Linked DNA regions of Rattus norvegicus. The protein of the gene in region 3 interacts with the protein of the main gene of each other region in a biochemical or structural test. Links are inferred from orthologs where the notes say so. Each region holds a gene or a part of one and is shown on either strand. Other genes may lie near its edges. The genes, in order: Lgals3, Lgals1 and Lgals3bp.

Region 1 (7,581 bases), on a different chromosome or scaffold from region 3:
TTCGTTTACTAAGTCAGACTCCTAACATCTCTGTATCAGAAGAAACCAGGTGACTGAGTGAGACTCCAGGTCAGGCTTGCCCCTCACTTCAAACAGCACAACCATCCATATCTAGAAGTCATTCCGTGATATTTTATGAGATTGTCTTGTACTTTTTTTTTTTTCAAAGAGTTTATATAGGCTTTGGGCTGGGTTCTAAAGAGTCATTTACTGCTCCTATACAGATCGTAAACTCCGGACACTCCTTGATATATAGCAAGACCCTTTTGCTAGCTTTACTTGGCATAAAATTGGCGTAAAAGTGTTCTTTTTGATGGACAGTGAAGACATAAGTCTGACCTCATGATTCAGCTTGGCATAAGAAGTAAGCCTTCTAAGTAACGAAGACACAACTTTAATCGATCCTTAAAAATGACCAACGATTACCCACAGGGCAAGAGTGTGTGTGACTCATCTCTTATCTCTATAGCAACCTTTTCGGCTGTCCACTTCTAGCTAACCTTCAGAGAGTGTCTCATGATTCACAGTCCTAAGACTTTAAGTGTTTTCCTAAGAGACGAAAGACATTCCTCTCAGCCCATCCTGTTCAGTACCCACACGCTAATCATCCACACATGACTCATTCAAACTAATTGGTTGCCAGGCTACCTGTGTAGAGGAGAGTTCATGGCGTCCAAATGCTTCTCCAGCTACACAGTGACTTCCGTGTGTGTGTGTGGGGTGGGGGGCAGCAATGAATGCATCCCCAGCAACAGGCTCTGCAGAGCTTGTAAATCTATCCTAGAGACCAGAGCAGGCCTCCTCAGCGCCACTGCTGAGTGAGGGTTTGCGTGCAAACTCCCTCTGGTTGTGGGAAACTGGCTGAGACTATCAATTAACACACCAATAATTGATTACCTTAGTGCTTACAGGAAATCCAGGGAGCCAGGTAACACTTGGCCTGCTCCATGGTTTACATAAGCCAGTGATTGCTTGGGGTTTTTAACTTTTGTTTTTGAAACAGGGATACCGTGTATCCCTGGTGGCCTCTAGTTCAGGGATACAGATCAGGCTGGCCTTAGACTCGAAGGTATCTGCCTGTTTCTGCATCCCAACAGCATGCAGATCCCAGGAGGGTTAAGGGCAGGAACCACCACACCTACATAAAAATAAAACATTCATTTATTTCTTTTTTTTAAATATTTTTTATTCACTTTTTATTTATTTGAGTACAATACTGTCCCTGTCTTCAGACACACCAGAAGAGGGCATCGGATCCCATTACAGATGGTTGTGAGCCACCATGTGGTTGCTGGGAATTGAACTCAGGACCTCTGGAAGAGCAGTCAGTGCTCTTAACCACTGAGCCATCTCTCCAGCCCCATTCATTTATTTCTAAAATTTTATTTACCTGTTTTAATATTTTAAAGTGCATTTCTTTTTTTGCACATATGCATGTGAGCATGTGTATGTATGTGGGTTAAAGGACAACAACATTTAAGAGCTGGTCCTCTCCTTTCCTCGTGAGTGAGTTACAGGGATCAAACTAAGGCTGTGAGGCTTTGCAGCAGGTGGCCTTAGCGGATCATTCTTAACTCTCGTACCCGTATTTTCTCATGTCTAAAATGGGGTTAGTGAGCAAGGGCACAGTGAAAACAAACTGAACCGAACTGACTCTGTGGGTGGAGAAAAATGGGGCTCAAACCACCAAGGCAACAAACAGCCCCCCACCCCCCGGGGTGGGGAGAAGTCAGAAGAAGGGGGGGGAGCGGTTTGAGCTGTTACAGGCTGTTGGGATTGACAGGGAAGTAGATACCCTTGCCCAAGGTAGTTGACATTTGGGGGCAGACTAAGGGAGATTCGTGGTCAACAGAAAACACTTCTAAGCTTCTGTTTGATCGGCCAGAGTCTTTCTGTTTAGGACCAGCGCTGACATTTTTCGGGGACTGCTTTGGACCTAATAGGATTAAAATAATGCCAAATCCATAAACGTATTAAAGCCCTAGGCACAGGATGGGGTGCATACCCATTTGGTGGATGTTAGCTGATGCTATCTGAAACCGGGGGAACATTATCTTGAATATTCTTAACAACGTCACTCAGTTTTTATCTATATAAATGCTTCCGAACTGGTTATCAGCCTTGTTGCAAAAGCGGCTGTTTCTTGTAAAAACTTTTCATACAGACCGAGCTACACCCTGTTCCCTTGATTTAACTTTGTCGTGCTGTACTCTCCTATAATCTTTGAGAAAACATCTTGGGGGGGAGGCGCCTCTTACATCTCAGATGTGTCAGGGACACCTGGTCCTCCCTCCCCTCACACTCAAAGTCACTGCACATTTCTAGGGAAGGCTTCCGGTGAAGGGAATAGGGGCAGGATGAGACCATGAGGGGCAGTTTCAGACGAGGGAATCGGGTGAGTGTGAGAGTTTGGGTGTGGACAGCCAGGGTCCACTGTCCGGCACAGGTGAGGGACATAGGCTGGCGGGTGTGTCCCTGTCCACCACGGGGAAGCTCCGGGGTCCGCAGGGTGCGGTCCAGCCAGGCGCCTGCAGGGCGAGGGATGCTGCCCCGCCCCAGGAGGGCGGGCCCGGGCAAAAGTGTACTAGAAGCCGCCGAGCCACCGCCCTGCTCTAACAGCTAGCGGAGCGGCAGGAGGAGCACTAACCAGGTGAGCGGCGCGGGGCGACGGGGCGAGGGGACCGGTGCTGCACGGTGCACCGAGAAAGGGCTGGGCTCGCGGGAGATGGAGGACCCAGGCTCTGCAGCCCGGGAGGTGACCTCAGGGTCCCAGGTGCCGGTCCACCGCCCTGGTTCTCCTGCGGGTAACTCTCGGAGAGAGTTAGTCACGACCTAACACACTAACTCTCTTTGGCACGGCAGGATGCCAGCGGGCCCCGGGCACGCCTTCGAAGCCCTGAGCTCGAGTGAACCACAACCTACGGAGATCCACCTTGTAGCTGGCTCCAAGCGGTTGCCCCTAGCTTGGCCATAGGAATCAGGTGCCACTCTTGGCACGTTGCGGGTGGGAGTTTGAGGACTCGGCAGACATTGCCCTGCTTTCAGGCCAGCAGGCTCCTTCGGTGAGTCAGGTTCAGCGGAGGTAGGAGCTACAGCCACTCCCTAGATACTGACCACACACACTGTCCAGGCTCTAGTGCGCATGTGCCGGGATGGAGAACTACAGTAACCTCTAAAATTCGTTGTAAGCCAAGTGACTTATCCCTGACCGGTGCATATTTGTGCAATAAACTCTAGGTCTGGGTGGAGGAAGTCTTGGGTGTGGTGGTGTTTGTTTCAGAATGCAGAAGCTAGAGGCTTTCGAAAGTTGCATTTATCCCGAATTATCTGTTACTCCAACAGGAATGCGGGAAATCGATGATGGGGGAATCGCGGCTGTGGTTTAGGCTAACCCTAGTAGGAAGCAAGTGACCCCTATTTTTAGAAACTAGAATATTAGTAAAGCAATCCCTGGAGAGTAGGGTTTCTGGATGATAACAATTGGACTTAGTGACCCGGCTAATTCTGAGAAAAACAACAGGAATCACAATGTACAAAAACTCACCAATTTCTAACATTCCAAGTTGTTTGCTTCAAGTTTATACTTCCTTATTTTTATTTATTTACTTTAGGGGGGGTTGGAGGGGAAGGGAGAGTGTATTAGTTAGGGTTTTACTGCTGTGAACAGACACCATGACCAAGGCAACTCTTAGAAGAACAGCATTCAATTGGGACGCAGTCCATTATCATCAAGGCGGGAGCATGGCAGCTAGGACGAGGGTCATAAAGCCCACACCCACAGTGCCACACCTACTCCAACAGGGCCATACCTTCTAATAGTGCCACTCCCCGGCTGAGCTTTTACAAACCATCACAGGGAGGCAGGATGCCACTGCAGCCTAGGCAGGTCTGCAATTCACTACATAGCCCAGGCTGGCTTTCAATTTTCAATCCTGTCTCAGTGTCCTAAGTGCAGGGACCAACGATGTTAAACTACCACCCCCAACTGTTTCCCTAAATATTGACGTTTAATAACGAAAAGCTTGCTTTTCTGCAACAATAGCCTTTGGTGTGGGGGTGGTGCAGGTCAAGACCTTGAGACTGAAAGAATTTTTTGTTCAGACAAGGTCTTCCTACGTGGTCTAGGCTGGTTTAGAACTTGTGATTTTCCAGGCCAGTACAACCACACCTAGCAATTGTCCTCTTGGTCACTGATACTTTTTGCTTTGTTTTGCTTGTTTCTCAAGATAGGGTCTTACAATATAGCCTTGCTTGGCTTCACACTCAGTTCAGAGCTCAGGTTGGCCTTGAACCTATGGCACTCTCTCTACCATGGTTTCCTGAGTGCTGGGATTATAGATGTGGCCATCTTTACCCTAGACTCTTTTCCTAAGATAGTCACACTTCTCTTTGATGGGGACTAGCTTCCTAAATTCACAATGTTTAGGAGTTTGGTTTGAAATCTGCACTCATTCCATATTCTGGAGAGGACTCTGATGGGGTCTTTCAGGCCTATGCTTAGAAGTGTTTAATGGACAGCTCACTAAATTGTACACAAAGCAGAAGGGGTAGAGAATTGCTTGAGGATTGGCTCGAGGGTTCTCAATCAGTGAGAGAGTTCACTGGGTCAAAAGTGTTGGTTTATCATTTTTCAAGATGGGGGTCTCACAAGTAGCACTGGCTGGAACTTCATACATCAGGCAGGCCTGGACTTACGATACCCACCTGCCTCTGCCTCCTGGGTCTGCACAGATGCTTTCCAAAGAACCTTTCCTCAGGTGGGTGTGGGAGTGAGCGCCTATAATCCCAACATTCAGGAAGCAGAACTCAAAGAATCTCAAGTTCGAGGCCAGTGTAGACTACATGTAGAATTCCAAGCCAGCCGGGGCCAAAGAGTAAGACAGACCTGCCTTGAAATAAATAAACAAGCTTCTTACTTCTTGCCAGTGAACTCGTGTCCTAGGTCAGTCTTATTGACGATTCGGGTGCCTATTTGCCCAGCACCCTCAGTAGCCAAAATCTAAGTCTTCGCTACAACAGACACTGCACACACATTCACAACACCACACACACACACACACACACACACACACACACACCCCTCAGACACACACAGAGAGACAGACAGACACACACCCCTCAGACACACAGAGACAGACACACACAGAGAGACAAACACACACAGAGAGACAGACACACACAGAGAGACAAACACACACACAGATACACTTCAATTTAAAAAAAATCTATATTTGAGAAGTAAATACTGTAAAGAAAATTCTAACTAAAAACAATGAATACTTTTTTTTTTGGAAAAATGCAGTGTATTGGTTAAAATGTGGTTTTTCTTAACAATGTGGCTGTGTGCAAAAGCATTCTATACCCAGCAGCCCGTGTATTGACTCACTGAGTGAATGACTCACGAGTCACTGAGTGAATGACTCACGAGTCAGTGTCTGCCCAGAGCTCCTTTTTATTTTAAATCTGTTTACTATTTCAGTCGTGTCGCTCTGGGTGAACCAACAAGCTGAATTTTCAGGGATGTAACTAAAAAGTTCCAAGGATTCTATTTTAAAATATCAAAAATGTACAGTTTTAAACAAATATAGGTCAGACTTGAGTTAGGGTCAGGAAACTTGGGCTCTTGTCCCCAGGATGCCAATGCTTTGGGCCACTGAATGAGCTCTCGGATTCCTCACTTCACAGTGGGAATATTTTCTCTCCAGCCAGCGTTACCAGATTGCTAACAAAAGAACAGCTCAGTGAAAGTTCTCTGGGAACTGAAAATCACAGTGCAGGGAGGGCGTCGTTACCCTGACATCATCCAAAGGCCCACGTGAGTCACAGTGAAATCTGCTGCCTTTGGGATTTCATTTGGTCAGATTGGAAGATGGAGCCAGCCAGCCTTGATCAGAGGCTTTGCACAGTATCTCTTAGCGTTTCTAGATGTATCACTCTTTAAACAGAATTTGACTGGTGTTCTGTTAATAGAGCACCTTTTGAGGAGAATGGGAAAGTTCGATTGTTTGTTTGTTTTCCCATGTAGGCTCTTTTGAGTGACATATTATTTAACAGTGATTTGACCCTTCAGACCTAAGAGTTTAACTTGTAAATCTTCAAGTCTCTTAAAATTGAAGCAGGGGTTGGGGATTTAGCTCAGTGGTAGAGCGCTTGCCTAGGAAGCACAAGGCCCTGGGTTCGGTCCCCAGCTCCGAAAAAAAGAATCAAAACAAAACAAAACAAAACAAAACAAAACTGAAGCATATTGGTCCTCAGCTCCAAGAAAAAAACAAACAAACAAACAAACAAAAAACAAACTAAAACTGAAGCGTACTTAAGAGGGGAAAAGGGTTTCTTTATGGGGAAGTGCTCGTTGGTTAGTTTTTAGAGACAGTCTTGCTCTGTGGCCTAGGTTAACGGTAAAGTCAATCCTCCTGCCTCAGCCTAAGATAGAGGTGTGTGGCACCATGCCCAGCAGAGGATTGCTCTTGTTTGTCTGCTTGTGCAGCTTAGACAGGCTCCACATTTCTGCTCCTCTTACCTCAGCCCCCCCTAGACTTGAGGTGGCAGGTGGTGACCATCCTCCCTGGTAACCTTCGCTACTTTAAAATTCCTTGTTGGTTTTTATGGCCCCTTGTATGTAAGTTTATCTAGGGATAGACACTGACAGCCTGAATTGGTAGTCTTCAATTCAACCAGAGGTGATTTTTGGCCTTAGAGATTTTTCCCACCTTTGAAAACATTTTGGGTTGTCACAAGTTACAGGGCAGTGTGCCACCGGCATCTAACGGCTTGAAGCCAGAGATATTGCTGAAGGGGTGGGGAAAGGTTTAATCAGAAGTGCTAAGTTCTCTGTCCACTTTGAGCTTCAAAACCACTTCCTAACAGGATCTCACAATGTAGCGTTGGCTGGTCCGGAACTCGCTCTGTAAACCAGACTGGCCTCAAACTCACAGAAATCTGCCTGCCTCTGCCTTCTGGGTGCTGTGTACCACTATGCCCAGCCTAGGCTTTATTTTCTTAAGAAAAAATCTGAAGCCAGGAACTGCGGGTCCTGCCTTTGATGCCAGTCCCTGGGAGGCTGAGGAAGGGGGGTTGCTGTAAGTGATCAAGGCTGGAATGAGACCCTGGAGCTTGGTATGTGGTCCAGGCTGACCTCAAACTCTCAGGCTACAGAATGCTGCGCTCACAGGCATGATGGACACGGTGCTCACCTAATCATGTTATTTCTCGGGATAACTGAGTAAACTATCACAGATGGGCAAAATGAAGTCAGAAGAGAGTCTGATTATGTATTAGGTTCAGGTGATTCTCTTTCTTTTTTTTTTTTTTTCCCCCTTTTTTTCCCGGAGCTGGGGACCGAACCCAGGGCCTTGTGCTTGCTAGGCAAGCGCTCTACCACTGAGCTAAATCCCCAACCCCATGTTCAGGTGATTCTCATGGCAGCAAGATGGCTGCAGTCGTTCTGAGCTCTGATCGATCTCATTCCCGTCCAAAGCTGCCCTCCCTGTGGCTGCTTGCATTGTTTCGTGCCTTAGTGCTAGCCTTTGCCAAATATGCCAATTGCTGTTAATTTAATCGCCAGCGCCCTAAGAAAGGAAC
Region 2 (7,868 bases), on a different chromosome or scaffold from region 3:
GTGCTCTAAACTGCTGAGCCACCTCTCCAGTCCCCCCTTTTTATTTTTTAATTTATTATTTGAATTTGAATTTTCATTTTATTATTTAGACAGAGTCTCCCTACATATCCCTGGCTGTCCTGAAACTCACTATATAGACCAGGCTGTCCTCGAACTCACAGAGCTCTGTAAAAGCACCATCAAGCTGGCAACCCGTGCAAATAATCTTTATTATTATTATTATTATTATTATTATTATTATTTGTAATTTATTTCACTATATAGGTGTTTTCCCTAAGGAGGTCAGAAGAAAGCATTTGATCGTCTGAACCTGGAGTTACAGACAGCTGTAGATGGCTCTGAGCTGCTATCTGAATGCTGGGAATTGAACCCAGGTCCTCTGGAAGGGCAGTAAGTGCTCCTACCCACTGAGCCATCTCCCAGCCCCACACCTGTGGTGAGCCTTACAACCTCCCTGTGAGGTCATCCCTTCCTTGTTCAAGATCAATGTTTAGCTTCTAGGGTAAATTGTGAACACAGGAAGACAGTCTGAGGCACATTTTCTTTGACCCAGCAGAGGGCCATTCCTCCACAGCCACACTTGGGAGCCTCAGAAAAGCACAGTGATTGGGGTGTGTTTCATGGGAGCCCAAGGCTTATGTATTCCATTCTCTTTGGCCTTCTCCTATGGGTACCCCCACTTCCTGGACCCACCACCATGAAAAGTCTTCATCTTGCTGTGGATTGGGAAACTGAGGCTGGGGGATGGACCCTACCAAGAGGGTGCCAGTTGTCCCAGAAAATGAGATGGCACATCTCACAGGCACCCACCTCCCAGCCTCAGGATATGAACCCCGGATTTGAGAGCTGGAGAGAGCCCAGTGAGGTTTATAGTTGAAGCCTTCCAGAACCTTGGCTCAGTTCCTGCAGCTGTTTCCTGGGAAGTGGTGACACTGGTATGGATGAACAATGGTGGCCCACCGGTTTGATGCAGTTAATTGCACTGGATGGGGCAGGCCTCAGCTAACAACCACATCCCGAGGCAGCAGAACCTGAGCTGAGGGCAGGGGAAGACACCCACTGCTCTGGAAGGCAGGAGCAAGCTTGCAGTGAGCCACCTGCCCTCTGGAAGACCTGCTTCTGGGCCTTCCCATCCCATTCCTCACCCCACGTCTCCGAAGGGACCCACTCAGAGCCCCCAACCACATTACAGGGCTGTGACCTCATCCTGGATTCCCATTGTTAGGGAGGGGATCTGTTCAGTGCCACAGAGTTAGCAGCTTCTAGCCTAGGCCTCTAGCTGCCCTTTGACAGCAGAAGAATGTAGCCGAGGATCATAGGACTAGGAAGCCTGCTTCACATGTGCTCCTCAGCTGCTGGTGCGTCATTTTGTCCCTCAGAGACCGTCTCTTCCCCTTCCCTTTGTAGGCAAAAACAAGGTAGTAGTGTGAGGGAGACCAGAAGCTACCCACATGGCATTGGCCATGATGTACCCAGAGCAGAACTTGGCTTCCACTAAAATCTCCTTTAACTCCACGACCCTCCCGAGAACTGCATAAAAATGATAAACTAAGGCACAGAGAGACCAGCTAACAAGCACAAGGCCACACAACAGTTGTAGCCCCTTACCTAGTTCAAGATTCCTCCGTTCTATATGAAGTCATGCTATGTTGCCCCAGCTAGCCCTAAGTGGTCCTCTTGCCTCAGTCTCCCAAGTAGTTAGCAGTACAGAACTGCACAGCTAGTCCCAGCTGCCTCCAGTATGTAGACCAGGCTGTCCGGAATGGTCTCAAACACACGACGATGTGTCTGTCCTGGCCTCCTAAATTTCAAGAATGTGTCACCATGCCCTTTCTGGCCTTTATGGAAACAAATGAAGTCCTGTGTTCTGTTCATTAGTTCACCTCCCACCATTCTGCCCTGTTGCAGTGGTACACTGGTTCACACTCTGCGGTCACTAAGCCCCCTCTATGTGCTGGGCTCGCCTTAGCCTGGAGAGCACAAGAAGAAAGGTCACTGGGACCAAGAACACGTGGAGGAGTGAATGGAAGTGCAGATGGACCAGGTTGGGCAGGGCCCCTCACATAGACATACACAAACACTCACACACGAAGGGCTGGGTTACAGGGAGCAGAGGCAGCTGCCTTTATTGGGGGCTACGGGCTGGGGCTGGCTGGCTTCACTCAAAGGCCACACACTTAATCTTGAAGTCACCATCCGCCGCCATGTAGTTGATGGCCTCCATGTTGAGGCGGTTGGGGAATTTGAATTCATGCCCGTCTGGCAGCTTGATGGTCAGGTCAGCCTGGTCAAAGGTGATGCACACCTGGTGGATGGAGAAGGGCAGTGAGCTGGGGCCTGGACCAGCTCAGAGCCCTGGGGATGGCCCCTGTATAGGTGAGGTCCATTATGTTCAAAGAGGGATGCCATTCAGTGGTAATCACACAGCCAGGACGGATCAGCCTCCGCCTCTGACCACATTGTGCAGTCCACCCAGGGCCCTGCCCAGCCCCAGTCCTACCCACCTCCGTGATGCTCCCAGGCTGGAAAGGGAAGGCAGTCTCCCGTTGTTCTGTTCCCCAGGTCCCATCATCCTTGCTGTTACACACAATGGTGTTGGCATCTCCATGGGCGTTGAAGCGGGGGTTGAAGTGTAGGCACAGGTTGTTGCTGTCTTTCCCCAGGTTCAACACAAAGCTAAGGATGACAGGTGGGCTTTAAGCCGTGTTGCATGGCTCTAGCCCCTGGCTGGCTTACTGAGAAAATGCAACATCAGCAGCTGGCCACTAATGTGCCCTGGTGAAACTCAGTCAACAGGAAGGCCAGGAACCTGGATTCTACTTCTGGCCTCACCATGCGAACTGAGCTAGACCCTGCAGATTCTCTCTGACCCACATTTCCTTCCCTGTCTGTCAGTCAGAGGGCTTGTCCTGAAGGGAGCTCTCTCTCCCAGACATTGATCGTTGTCACCCATCATCTTGTGTATCTGAGTCCCTGGTGCTGAGCACAGAGTGGGACACACCATAGATGTTCCCTCACTGTGGAGAAAAAAGAGCAAATAATAATTCGGAGTTTGCTGCACGGAGCCTGGCAACAGTGCTCACCATGGAGGTATGGGTGGGAAGAGGAAAGAGGGCTCGGGAGCTTACTAACATCTGACAACAGACAGCAGCAGCTGCCGCCTTGAAACTGGCCCCTGGCTCTCTCTACTCCACCACTTTTCCTCTGGCTTTATTAGGAAACCTAGGCTCTTAGGGGTGTGGAATACGGAGGTGCACACTTTCAATCCTAGCTCTGAGGAGACGGAGGCATGTGGGTCTCCGTGGAGGCCAGCCTGGTCAACATAATAGGTTCCATGATAGCCAGGGCTATAAGGCAGACTCTGTCTTTGGAAAAGAAAAGAGAAAAAGTCGAGACCTCTTAAGCTTGGGTGACTGGTCCAAGCTCACATGGCTGCTGAAAAATTAGGCGGTATGAATGAGGGGAAAGCTCTGGGGGGGAAAAAAAATTGAGCTTCAGCAGGGCCGCCGCAGGCAGCAGGCACGAGGGTGACCACGCCCTCCTCGCCCCCCCCCCCCGCGTCCCCCTCCTTCTCCTCGGAAGGGGCGGGGGCAAGCTGGAGTTGAGGCAGCAGCTGTTTTAGTTTAAGAAACTCCAGCGGGGAGAGAGGAGGTGGGAGGGAGGGGGAGACCACGGCGATGTCGGTCGACCAGACCCGGCGAGGAAATGACTCACCCAGAAAACGCAGCATCTGCAGCTGCCCATTAACCCGCGGCGGGGTTAGGTAGGGGGGGGAGAAGCGGTTCTGGCCGGTCACGCCCATCGCATTTTAGGTCTGCGAACCCCGCCCCCTGCCATCTCCATTCCTTTCTCCAATCTCACCTCTTGGCGTCCGGGGCCAGCTCTCCCCGAACTTTGAGACATTCCCCAGGTTTGAGATTCAGGTTGCTGGCGACCAGACCCTGTGTAGACAAGACCACCCAGCTGTGTTTAGGTTGGAGTTAGGAGCGACCTACAGTGGCCTGGGGTGTGGGAATGGGGTCATTTCCACCCTGGGATACCCTGACCAACCCTAGGGGAAGCCCAAGGTAGGATGGGTGGTCAGGATAGGGTGTAGGTTCTAGTCTTGATTATCCCTGCAGTTGGAGAGAGTCCCCATTCCCAGCAGGGTGTCAAACTTGTGGCTGTCCTACAGAACAGGCCCTAGAAGATTCACCCATCATCAGCTTGGGGATCTGGACTTAGAGTGGAGGGGAAGATGGCATATGACCACCTAAATCCTCATTTAGCTGATGGACAGGGTTAGGCGACTACTAGCCCAAGGCCCTGCTTCTCTGAGAGAATGCAGCCCGAACCTCCGCAATCTGATTCAAGGCTCTCAGTCCAGAGGCACAGCAACTAGAGCGGAGAAGCTAAGAGGCGGGCCTGCTCTGCGGGAGAGGACAGACTGAGAGTGGCAATGTGGACTTAGTAAGTTAGAGAGCCCAGCATTTATCTGGGCATTGCGCGCAGCTGCCTGGGTGAGTGCACAGGAGTTAATTTGGGTAAGGAGTTTCTTTGACATTTGAACCCCATTCCGGAGGGCTTGCCTGTGTGTCTGTGTGTGCAAATGCATGCAGTTTCCTCGGCTCAGACCTGACCAGCTTCCACTGACCAGCCTGCCGCCTATCTCGGGCCCAGGAGGTGTTTTTTGTTTGTTTTGTTTTGTTTTTTTTTTTTTCTCCAAAAGTTTTCTGGAGCAGAGGGTGACCAACTGAGCCCTGGCTCTGTGATTGGGGACAGCTGCAGCGGGGGAGGGGTCAGGAGACTCTAGAATAGAGCAGAGGGAATAGTGAATGGCCTTGGACAAAATGTCCCCCTGCCTCCTTCTTCCTCGGAGGCCACACCCTTCCCACTCCCACTTCTCAGAAAACTACAAAGTGGCAGAGTACTGGACCTTGCAAGACATGCCACAACTCAGAGAAATCCAGAACATTCTTAACCCAGAGAGGCTGAAAGTTTCAGGGGGGACTATGACAGCCACCCCCATTTTACAGATGTAGCCAGTGAGGACCAGAGAAAACACCTGTCCAAGGCTGCACAGCTGGGACTAGAAGCAATTTCCCAATTGGCTACTCCCCTGTGTTCATCTGCTTCTGCTCAATCCCCTAGACCTTGGAACAGAGGGTCCCGCACTCACACAGGCCATGATTGAAGCGAAGAGATTCCTGCGACCTGCTCCACCAGCTGTCAGAAGACTCCACCCGAGAGATGGGCCCCAGGCCCGCTCCGACCTTTTTAACTGGATCAGACCCGGTGAGTCCCGCCCCTCCCCGAGAATTCAGCCAATTGCCTGTCAGGACAGGGCTGGGGGTCACCAGAAGCGGAGTCAACGGATTTATAAAGTCAATTTGGAGCAGAGGTGACCAGTCAGAGAGGAGAGCCCCTCTCTTAGTCCCTCCCTCAGGGTCCAGGCGCCGCCTCTTATTCTTCTTCATCCCTCTTCCCACTAAAAAAAGATTTGTGCTGTGGCAGAGATTGGGGGAGCCAGTGGAAAATAGTTTAAGGATGAGTTAAGCTCAAGAGTTGGCGGGATGGGGCCTGGGGCCAGCAGGGAGAAAGCCCCTGAGGCCCAGCGCAGCTGGTGGGGAAGGGGGTGTATAGACACCCCCCCACCCCCCACCCCCCACCCCACCCCCGCCTGCAGAGCATTAAAGCAATCTCTTAAGAGGCTGCCGCCTGGCAGGCCAGGGTGTGGCTCTCACTATTGCTCCTTCTGTGGGCTTCTGCGGAGGGCTGAGGAGGACCACAAAGCACAGGCCCCACCCGGGTTTTCCCCGGAAGCAGAGGACTGCCGCTGCGGCTCAGTGCTGCTCACTAGGGCTGGGCTGGGCGCCAGGCCTGAGACTATGTCCTTGGCTTATACCTTGGATTTCACCCCACTGCAGGGCCTGGCTGTGACATCCCTGGGGCCTGAGAGGCAGACCTCGAGGCAGCCCAGGATGTGCTAGCTTTGCACCCTTGGTCTCATTCTTATTTTTGGAGAAGAGACATGGTCATCCCTTCCCATCCATTTAGCAGTTATTTTCCTGAGCACCTACTATGTGTCTAGCCCCGTGCTGGCCTCAGAGAAGATGAGCCTCTCCTAGTCTCTGCTCTCAGAATTCACGGGTTGGAAAGAATCTGACTATGAGCTGAAATAAGAAATAACACCGTGTTGGCATCGGGCAGCCACTCACTCAGGCCGGGTGAAGATGGGCATATGAAGCAGGGGCTGGAAGCCCATGCCTGGGGAATGAGCTGCTTACCATGTAGAAGAAAGCTGAGAGTTAAGGATTGTGAAGGGTCTCATTGGCCAGGAAAAGGGTTTTCGTGTTCGTTTACCTGAGAGTCCTGGGGAGCTACAGATAGTCATGGGGTGATATGAGACTTAGGAAGGCTCACTGAGCAGAGCGGAGGGTTTGAGATAAAACAAGGCACTTCAAGGGTGCTCTTGCCAAGACGCCTGGACTCCTCCCGAGCGCTAGAAGGTTACTGAAAGGGCGAGTTTGCCCTCTCTGCCTTTGTCTTGTATCTGTCTCCTTTCCTTTGGCTCAGACTCCGCTTGACTCAGCCTTCCTGACCTAACCCTTCTGAGCCAAAGGCACAAAGACAAGTCACTGTCTCAAACCAGCCCAGCAAAGACTTGTGGGGCAACTGCTTCCCCACATGAGGGCCGGTGTTCCCCAGGTAACTCTGTACAGCACACCCCCACACCCAGGAGCGGGAGTGACCCTCTCCCGAGAACCCACATGTCCCCTTAAGCGATGCGACCTCTTTGAGCCATCTTACAAGGCCAGTCTGCTCAGGTATGCATACCTCTTGCTGTCTGTGCCAGTTCTTCCAATATTTAAACTTAAAATACATACAATGGTGGCTCGTGCCTGTAACACCAGCACTTGGGAAGCTAAGGCAAGACAATTAGGAATTCCAGGCCACCATCTGCTACATGAGACACTGGCTCAAACAGCTAGCCAGGCAGTGATGGTACACACTTTTAATCCCAGCATTCAGGATGTAGACACAGGCAGATCTCTTATGAGTTCAAAGGCAGCCTGGTTTACAGATTGAGGTTCCAGAATAGTCAGAACTACATACAGAAACCCTGTCTCCAAAAACAGGGTAGCCATATTGAATTAATCCTTTTGTATTTTTTTTAAAGATTTATTTATCTATCATATATATGAGTACACTGTAGCTGTCTTCAGACACACCAGAAGAGGGCATCGGATCTCTTTACAGATGGTTGTGAGCCACCATGTGGTTGCTGGGAATTGAACTCATAACCTCTGGAAGAGCAGTCGGGTGCTCTTAACCGCTGAGCCATCTCTCCAGCCCGTGTATTTTTTACCATTGCTGCCCTAGCCTCTTTTTAGACAAGAGTCTTTTAAAGATTTACTTATTTTATGTATCTGAGTACACTGTATGTTACTGTCTTCAGACACACCAAAAGAGGGCATCAGATCCCATTACAGATGGTTGTGAGCCACCATGTAGTTGCTGGGGACTGAACTCAGCTCTTAACCAATGAGCCATCTCTCCAGCCCTAGACAAGTCTTATGTGGTACAGCCTGGCCTCAACTTGCTGTGCTAAGGATGACTTTAAACCTCTGTTTCTCCTGCTCCTGCCTCTCAAGTTCTGGGATTTCAGGCCTGTGACAACTCAGTCTTGATGGGGACTGAACCAGACCTTCACTGGTGCTAAGAGATCATTGTACTAAATAGTTATTTCTTTAATGGTTGTAGAAGCCAAGCTCTACTGGTTGGCTATGAGAGCCCCCCTCTCCTACCCAAAAATCTCTGGTTAGCTAGAGGGGTATTCAGCTCACACTGGGGAATCAGGTGGTGGTGGCGAGGGCAACAGGGAGTCC
Region 3 (7,795 bases):
CCACTCTCTGGGCCGAGCTTATACAAACAAACCATCACAGATCCCAACCTGTGGGTCATGACCCCTTTGAGGTTGCACATCAGATCCTTGCACTGCCATTCCCAACAGTAGCAGAATTACAGTGAAGAAGTAGCCATGAGATTATTTATGGTGGGGGTCACCACCACATGAAGAACTGTATTAAAGGGTCACAGCATTAGGAAGGCCGAGAACCATAGAGCAACTGGGCCTGCCACAGACTACACACCCTGTGACAGCCTCTGTAACTTGGCATCCTTTCCCCCAGGAGAAGCCTAGGTCCCGGGCTCCAGGTGATTAATGGGCCTGCCCCAGGATGGAGGCACCAAAGAGACTTGTTGATTCCTGGAGCCACCAGGCAGGCAGTCCAGGTAGGCTGACTGTCCCCCCCACTTCTCTTCTCCAGGGTACACCTCCACTCTCCCTCTCACACTCTCAGCCAAAGGTGACAGAAGCCACAAGTTAGCCCCCGGTTCAACAAGCTTGGACATCTGCAGAGTCAGGCTGATCCCTGCCTGTAGCTCTCTGCGTGGTTTTCCCAGGACTGAATGACCCCATAGCCAATGGAAACTTCACATCCAAGGGAGCCAGTCCTTGAGTGTCCAACCCCTGAACTCTGAGGCCAAAAGCCTTTTGCTGAACCCAAAAGGGCTTTACCCCAGAACTCCCTGGGCCTTTTGAACACCAGATGGCCAGCCCAGGTTGAGCTGCACTGACTGAGGACTCCCCGAGTAGAAACCAAGACCCGGTCTTTTGCTTTTTTGTTTGTTTGTTTGTTTGTTTGTTTGTTTGTTTGTCTGTCTGTCTTTGTGGAGGAAGGGGAATGGGTGTAAGCCAGGCAGAGCCTGTGGTGGTCTGAACCCTAAAGGGTCCCTGGGGCCATTGGGAGGGAGATCGCATTATCGAGTCAGGTGTGTATGGAACCCCAGTGTATCCACTCACAAGTTACTATCTGGGTTTAGAGGACCTCGGGGCCTCCCTCCCTGGTGTCATACCTGGGACAAAGAGCTCAAAGCACAGGATAAAAGGATTTGCCAGACCAGAATTGATGTAGAAGTTTTAATAAAGGACACTTGGGAGGTGGTGCTGGAGAGATGGCTCAACTGATAAGGAATACTCCTTGCACAGAAGCCAGGTATAATTCCCAGCACCCACATGGCGGCTCACAACCGTCTGTAACTCCAACTCCAGGAAACCTGATACCCTGGCCACCATACGCACAGGTGTATGGCACACATGTACATGGTGTGTTTGCCTGCAGGCAAAATGCTCACACACATAAAATAAATGAATCCTTAAAAAAAAAAAAAGTAGACACCAAGGACAGAAACACAGCAGGTAAATTCCTGAACCATACATCAGAAAGGAACAGGGTGATTTTATACCAATTTGAAGTCACCTGACTTTGCCTCCTGGGTCATTTGTGTCGGACGTTTTGAATAGCATTCAAGAGTTGAGTGTCTTGAGGTAGTAAACCTTATGGGGCTGGCAGCTGGGGGAGCCACAGGGAGCTGTTGGGATTTAGGTCACTGTATAAACCTATCATAAGGTTAATTTTAATGTATTTTATATATTTGGAAGTTTTGTCTGCATGGATGTGTGTGCACCACATATGTGCCTGGTGACCATGGAGATCAGGAGAGGGCGTTGTATCCCTTAGAACTGGAGTTATGGTGATTGTGTGCAACCATGTGGGAGTTCCTAAGGGAACCTGGGTTCTTTGCAAGAAGAACAAGTGTTCCTAACCACTGAGCAACCTCCCAGTCCTCTTTGAATTTTATATAATTTTTCACATTTATTTACTGTGTGTGTCCACGTGCATGCACATACAGGCTATGGTAGACATACAGAGATCAGAAGACAGCTTACAGGAGTCAGTTTTCTCCTGCAGTGAGTTCCAGGGATCAAACTCACAGTGTCAAGATTGGCTGGCTGCAGGTTACCATCTCTGTTGTTGTTAGTTTTGTTGTTGTTGTTGTTGTTTTGGGTTTTTTGTTTGTTTGTTTTTCTCCTTTTCTTCCTTCGAGGCAGGCTTTCTTTGCGTAGCTCTGACTAACCTAGAACTTACAACGCAAACCAGACTAGTTTCTAACTATCAAAGATCCACCTACCTCTGCCTCCCAGTTGAAGGTGTTTGCCACCACAGGTATTAAAGAAACCTCTTAAGATTTAAATTTTAAACGTATGTGCACTGCGTGTGTGCATGCATGAGCACACTTGGGTGTATGTGTGTGCCTACAAAGTCTGATCCCATGGAGTTCACTTAAAGCCTGTTCCAAGCCAACCAACATGGGTGCCAGGAATTGAACTCAGATCCCCCGAGAGAGTAGGCAATGCTCTTAACCAGCAAGCCACCCCTAGCTCCTAGCCCTGCTTCCTGTTTTCTATCTCGATTCCCATCCCTCAGGACCACTCTGTGGCCCACATACCTTCCCTCCGAGCATGCTCTGAGCACGGAAGGTTTGTGCAGTGAGCACAGCCAGCCTCCCCAGATCCAGGAAAGGATTGTGCAGCCCACATCCATGTTCACAGACACTGTGTGACCTGAGCCTCTGCTCCCCGGCCCATTTGCAGCATCTTCTCACCATCCACCGGGGTGCCTGCCTGGCCAGCCTGGACAAGTTGCCCCCCACTGTGCTTACCAGGCCAGCAAGGGGATATATCTGTTCCATCCCCTTCCAAGCTGCCCTCCCAGGGTGCCTGCCTGGCCAGCCTGGACATGTATCTGTTCAGCCGCAACATTGTTGTTTTATCAGCTCAGCACAGGGCACTTGGGTGCTTGCCATCCTCCCTGCAGAGCAGCAAGCAGAGGGCTATTAGCCTTGTCTGCAGCCAACCCCAGAGGCAGCCTCCGTCATGTGTTTTCTGGAAATCGAAACTAGACTAGGTTTATAAAGCATTTCCGGGGAAGAGGCTGAGGAAAACCACATGGTGGGGCCTTTCTCAGCTGAACAGTCTACAGAAAGCTTCGAGCTGCAGCCAGCAAGGAGGCTCCAGGACCATCTGCAGCAGCTGCCTGGACAGGTGACTGACTACCTGTCTCTTGCTCCCAGGTGAGTCCCCGCTCTACACAGCATAATTTCTGGGGGGGGGGGTCGCAGAACACAGGAACACCTAGACCTGCAGAGCCTCTAAACAGTTAGGCAGGATGTTCACTGAAAGAACAACTGAAGGGGTGAGTGGGGTACAGTTCATCCCTCGGCCTTCTCCTGGGTCTGTGGATTCTCACCCAGGACTAAACAGACCTACACAGTGGTACTGAATGAGCCAGCATAGGCAGGCACATCCCAAGTTCCCACACAAAGGAGTCAGGCAGAAACAGCCCCTGTCATCCAGTGGACAAAAATGTCCACATACCCTGCAATGTTCCCAAGGCCTAAAGTTCCTGACCCAGCATGGACAAACCCTATAACCACAGCTTATAGTAAATGGAGGGGGTGGGCACCCAGGGCACTTTGCCTGGGACTCAGGTTTCCCGGAACCCAGACCTCCTTGGGATAAGACTGGGTGCACAGCACTAAGGATCAAGCTTCCCACCCATCATCGAGTTATAGAGTTCAGCGGTCAGAGCCTATAGTGAGAATGCTCCCCTGGTAGCCAGACTCCGCCAGCCACACTGAGAAGAGTCCAGTGGCCTTCCCCCATTAACATCCCAGAGTCTATAGGGGATATTAACATGAGGTTTACATAGAGGAATGTATAGCTAACTGGTCTGCCCTATGCCTGGGCTGTAAATCCCAGACTGGGCTGATATTTCCTGGAGACAAGCTTCCCCTCCGGCTGTCACCAGGCAACAGCTTTCTCCTTTCAGCATGAGACTCCCAGGGGGAATTCCAGTTCTGTCCTTGCTTCAGTAGTACGATAACCGAAGGGAAGGGCACGAGTTTGTCTTAGACTATCTTCACCCTTGCCAAGATGGCTACAAGAGCCCTGGATCACTGAGGTCTTGCTCGTGCTGCTCTGGTACAGAATGTCTGGGGTGGAGGACAATCCTGGTGTTTCTACTGATCCTGGGATAACCTCTACTGCTGGTCTCTGGGCCCCTGGTCTGAGTAACAAAACAGTTTGAGATTCGTTGCTGAGTTCCTGCCCAGGAGACAGAGCTCTACAGCACCGTCCACTACCAGCCCCGACCTCACTGCCCTCGGGACTAGAATGAGTCTACCAGGGCTGCTGCACTTTGCTCTCTAGGTCAGCCCCCTTCATGCAGGGCCCGAGAGAAAGTGCCTGGGTGGGGCCCATTCTACAGACAGGCGAGAGAGTCTTAGTATTGAGTCCCTGTGTGTCAGCACCTTGGCAGTTGACCCTGACCCATCTCCCACTCATCCCCAGATCACGCCATGACCTCTGCAACTGTCTCTGTCACTTCCTCCTGAGAGTTCCCTGCTCCAACCTCATCCACAACACCCTCCCAGACTGGCATATCTTGTCCCTTTGGGGCACACCCCGAAGGGGGCTGCTGCCTGAAGATAAGACCAACCGTTGAGGGATAGCCTCTTGTCTATTTCCTGGGTTCTCGTTGCCAGGAGCCCTCAACCCACCTGCCTCATCTGGGGAGACTTACTGTCCTGAAGGTTGTCCCATAGAGCATGTGAGAGAGAGGCCTGCATAAGGGTCATCTCATGGCCATCTGGGCCTTACGGAAGAGGGACCACCCACAACACCATCCTGTCCTCCACAAACTTGACAGGGGACCATGGAACTACCAGTCTCCTCCGGAGAGCTGTGGCCAGTCTAACTTTGTTGTTCCTTCTGCTGCAGGTTGGGCTTCCAGGTCAGGCAATGGCTCTTCTGTGGCTCCTCTCTGTGTTCTTGCTGGTTCCAGGGACTCAAGGTGAGTCCTGCTCAGCGAAAGGTCCAAAACAGAAGTCAAGACCGTGCGCCTTGGTGCCTTGTTCTGTGTGGGTCACACACACACCCCCTCCCCATCTTTGCAGAAAAGCCAGGTGGCATCCTGTAAGACACCATGTCTTAGGATTCTCTGCCATGTGGATCCTCAGTCATTCTGAATGGTGGCCCTGTATGGGCCCTGCCCCCTCCCCGAAATGCAGGTGTTGGAGAAGAGACCAAGGAATCTTTTTTCACCTCATCAGTGGGCCAAGGAGGGAGAGTGCAGCCTGTGTTGTCCTGGAGTTTGAGCTCTCAGGTCACAGGCTAGAATGCCAGAGAGTCCCTGTGGAACAGTTTACAAACTGCACCATGGGTCTGAAAGCCTTGCCCATCCTGGACCCTCAGCTGAGTATCTCGCTCTAGCATGGGTGACCCCAATTCAAGCACCCAGCCGGCATGGACAGAGACGGGAGTCCCAGAGAGCAGGGAGCAGGACTCCCTTGGCTACCTGTGCCTGAGGGCAGACTGTCTCTAGTCCAGTGTTGTCCCCTCTAGGCAGACACTGTAGGGATGAGGTAGCAACTGTATGTGCGAGTTGGGATATCAGCGCTGTGCACCCCGCTCCTCTCTTACAATGGGACCCCACACCACAGCTCCCTCGTCCCCACACTTTGGAGGGAGCAGGCAGCATGGCAATGTCCTGTTGCTGAGTGGGGACAGTCCAGAGGCCATGAGACAGGTGGCACTGGGGTGTCAAGACATCACCCATCGTAAGCCGAGGTTAATCTGCTCTCTGCCTGTGTCTAGGAACCCAGGACCCACCTTCCCCTTCATACCAGCGTTTCAGAGAGCCAGGAAAGAGCCTCTCCCCCCCCCCCCAAGTTCACTCAGTAGGCTGAGAGCCAAGGTGTCCTCTTGGAGAAAAAGACCCAGAGATGAGAGCTAGATAGACCATGGCCTCTGTGGGCTCATCAGAGTTTTCACTCTTCTTCAGTGGGTAACTTTTTTTTTTTTTTTTTGGTTCTTTTTTTTCGGAGCTGGGGACCGAACCCAGGGCCTTATGCTTCCTAGGCAAGCGCTCTACCACTGAGCTAAATCCCCAACCCCCCCCCTTTTTTTTTTTAAAGATTTATTTCTTTATTTACTATATATAAGTACTCTGTAGCTGTCTTCAGACACACCAGCAGAGGGCATCAGATTCCATTACAGATGGTTGTGAGCCACCATGTGGTTGCTGGGGATTGAACTCAGGACCTCTGGAAGAGCAGTCAGTGCTCTTAACCTCTGAGCCATCTCTCCAGCCCCCCCCCTTTTTTTTTAAAGATTTTTTTTATTTGTTTTTATGTATGTGAGTACACTGTAGCTGTCTTCAGACACACCAGAAGAAGGTTTCTGATCCCATTACAAATGGTTGTGAGCCACCATGTGGTTGCTGGAAACTGAACTCAGGACCTCTGGAAGAGCAGTCGGAGCTCTTAACCACTGAGCCATCTCTCCAGCCCTTCAGTGGGTAACCTTACACACACACACACACACACACACACACACACACGAATGCACGTGCGGGGAGGGCCCCTTGAAGTGGTTCAAGGCATCTCCAGAAGGCCACTCCACCCTGTTTGGGGTGACCTTTGCTCAACGAGAGAGCACACAGAGCATTGAGTACACGGGGAGTGGGCATCAGACCAGGCTAGCCCTCCTCCCAGCTAATCTCCACTCTCCTGACAGGTGCAAAGGATGGAGACATGCGCCTGGTTAATGGGGCCTCAGCCAGTGAGGGCCGCGTGGAGATCTTCTACAGAGGCCGGTGGGGGACAGTGTGCGACAACCTCTGGAACCTTTTGGATGCCCACGTCGTCTGCCGGGCCCTGGGCTATGAGAATGCTACTCAAGCACTGAGCAGAGCCGCCTTCGGGCCAGGTGTGGCTGAGGTCCCTGAGTAGTGCTCCTCAGGCATCCCCTCCCGCGCCCCAGTGAGCAGCCCCAGTCCCCGCCAAAGGTCCGGTTCCTACTCCAAGCGGCTCCTGGCTTTCCTTTTGTGCCCACAGGAAAGGGACCAATCATGCTGGATGAGGTGGAATGCACAGGGAACGAGTCGTCACTGGCCAATTGCAGCTCCCTGGGCTGGATGGTGAGCCACTGCGGGCATGAGAAGGACGCGGGCGTGGTCTGCTCCAACGGTGAGCTGCCCTGCCCCCCACCCCCGTGTAAACAAAGTTGCAAGTGGCACTGTGGTTGTGGCTGGGAGCACGCGTCCTCCAAGAGAGCCCCCCGTGTTACTTTAACGCCAGAGAAGCTTCTCTAGCAGGGCTAGATTACGGGCAAGGGACTGTATTCCAAGTACAAATGGCACTGTGCTGGAGGGTTGGCTCTCTAAGGGCCGGTGTCTTACGGCTACTACTTGCTCTGACACATTGCACAGCACCCCTCCGCACAGGTTGTGTGTGATGGCGCTGAAGTGATTCTCGGTGGCTATGTTCAAGGACACTAACCGACTCCATCAAAAGTCTTCATCTCCAGTGCCTGAGGCCCAGTGGGAGTGTTGCTTCCTGGCTACCGTCTGTGGCTTCCTCCTGGGGGGTGGGGGTGGGGGGGCAGGGCAGTTTTGTTCCTGGGACATGCCTCTCTGTCCTGAGTTGGAGAACTGAGGCCTGGGGGTATTGAATCCCACAAGGTCAGACAGGCTTGGGTACAGGTTGATCTGAGGTGGAGGATCTCAGACTGGGGGAGCCTCATGAGTGTGAATAAGCTGTGTAGGCATGTGGAAGGCCCCACTGACTGGGGAACAGCATGAAACGGACACCAGAGGTAGAAGCTAGGGGGCACTGGGGCTGTGGTGTGAGGAGACACAAGGAGCCAGCCCACGCACTCCAAATGCCACGCCCGTATAGAGCAACACACGGTGTGGTATGCAGTTCTGGATTAGGGTCTGGGAGGCAGGGGAAGG

The links.
Region 1: the proteins of Lgals3bp (region 3) and Lgals3 form a complex in vitro, tested with the Homo sapiens proteins (4 studies listed by BioGRID). The link is inferred for Rattus norvegicus from reciprocal best matches to the Homo sapiens genes LGALS3BP and LGALS3.
Region 2: the proteins of Lgals3bp (region 3) and Lgals1 form a complex in vitro, tested with the Homo sapiens proteins (2 studies listed by BioGRID). The link is inferred for Rattus norvegicus from reciprocal best matches to the Homo sapiens genes LGALS3BP and LGALS1.

The regions. Positions count from the first base shown.
Region 1 is NC_086033.1:23,097,181-23,104,761, forward strand, and holds the start of Lgals3 (galectin-3), read left to right. Parts: upstream 1-2,862; 5' UTR 2,863-3,062; intron 3,063-7,581. UniProt on the Homo sapiens protein: Galactose-specific lectin which binds IgE. May mediate with the alpha-3, beta-1 integrin the stimulation by CSPG4 of endothelial cells migration.
Region 2 is NC_086025.1:112,363,030-112,370,897, reverse strand, and holds Lgals1 (galectin-1), read right to left. Parts: upstream 5,204-7,868; 5' UTR 5,168-5,203; coding exon 5,159-5,167; intron 3,942-5,158; coding exon 3,862-3,941; intron 2,677-3,861; coding exon 2,505-2,676; intron 2,306-2,504; coding exon 2,159-2,305; 3' UTR 2,097-2,158; downstream 1-2,096. UniProt on the Homo sapiens protein: Lectin that binds beta-galactoside and a wide array of complex carbohydrates. Plays a role in regulating apoptosis, cell proliferation and cell differentiation. Inhibits CD45 protein phosphatase activity and therefore the dephosphorylation of Lyn kinase.
Region 3 is NC_086028.1:104,122,990-104,130,784, reverse strand, and holds the start of Lgals3bp (galectin-3-binding protein precursor), read left to right. Parts: upstream 1-2,936; 5' UTR 2,937-3,071; intron 3,072-4,779; 5' UTR 4,780-4,800; coding exon 4,801-4,852; intron 4,853-6,576; coding exon 6,577-6,768; intron 6,769-6,896; coding exon 6,897-7,028; intron 7,029-7,795.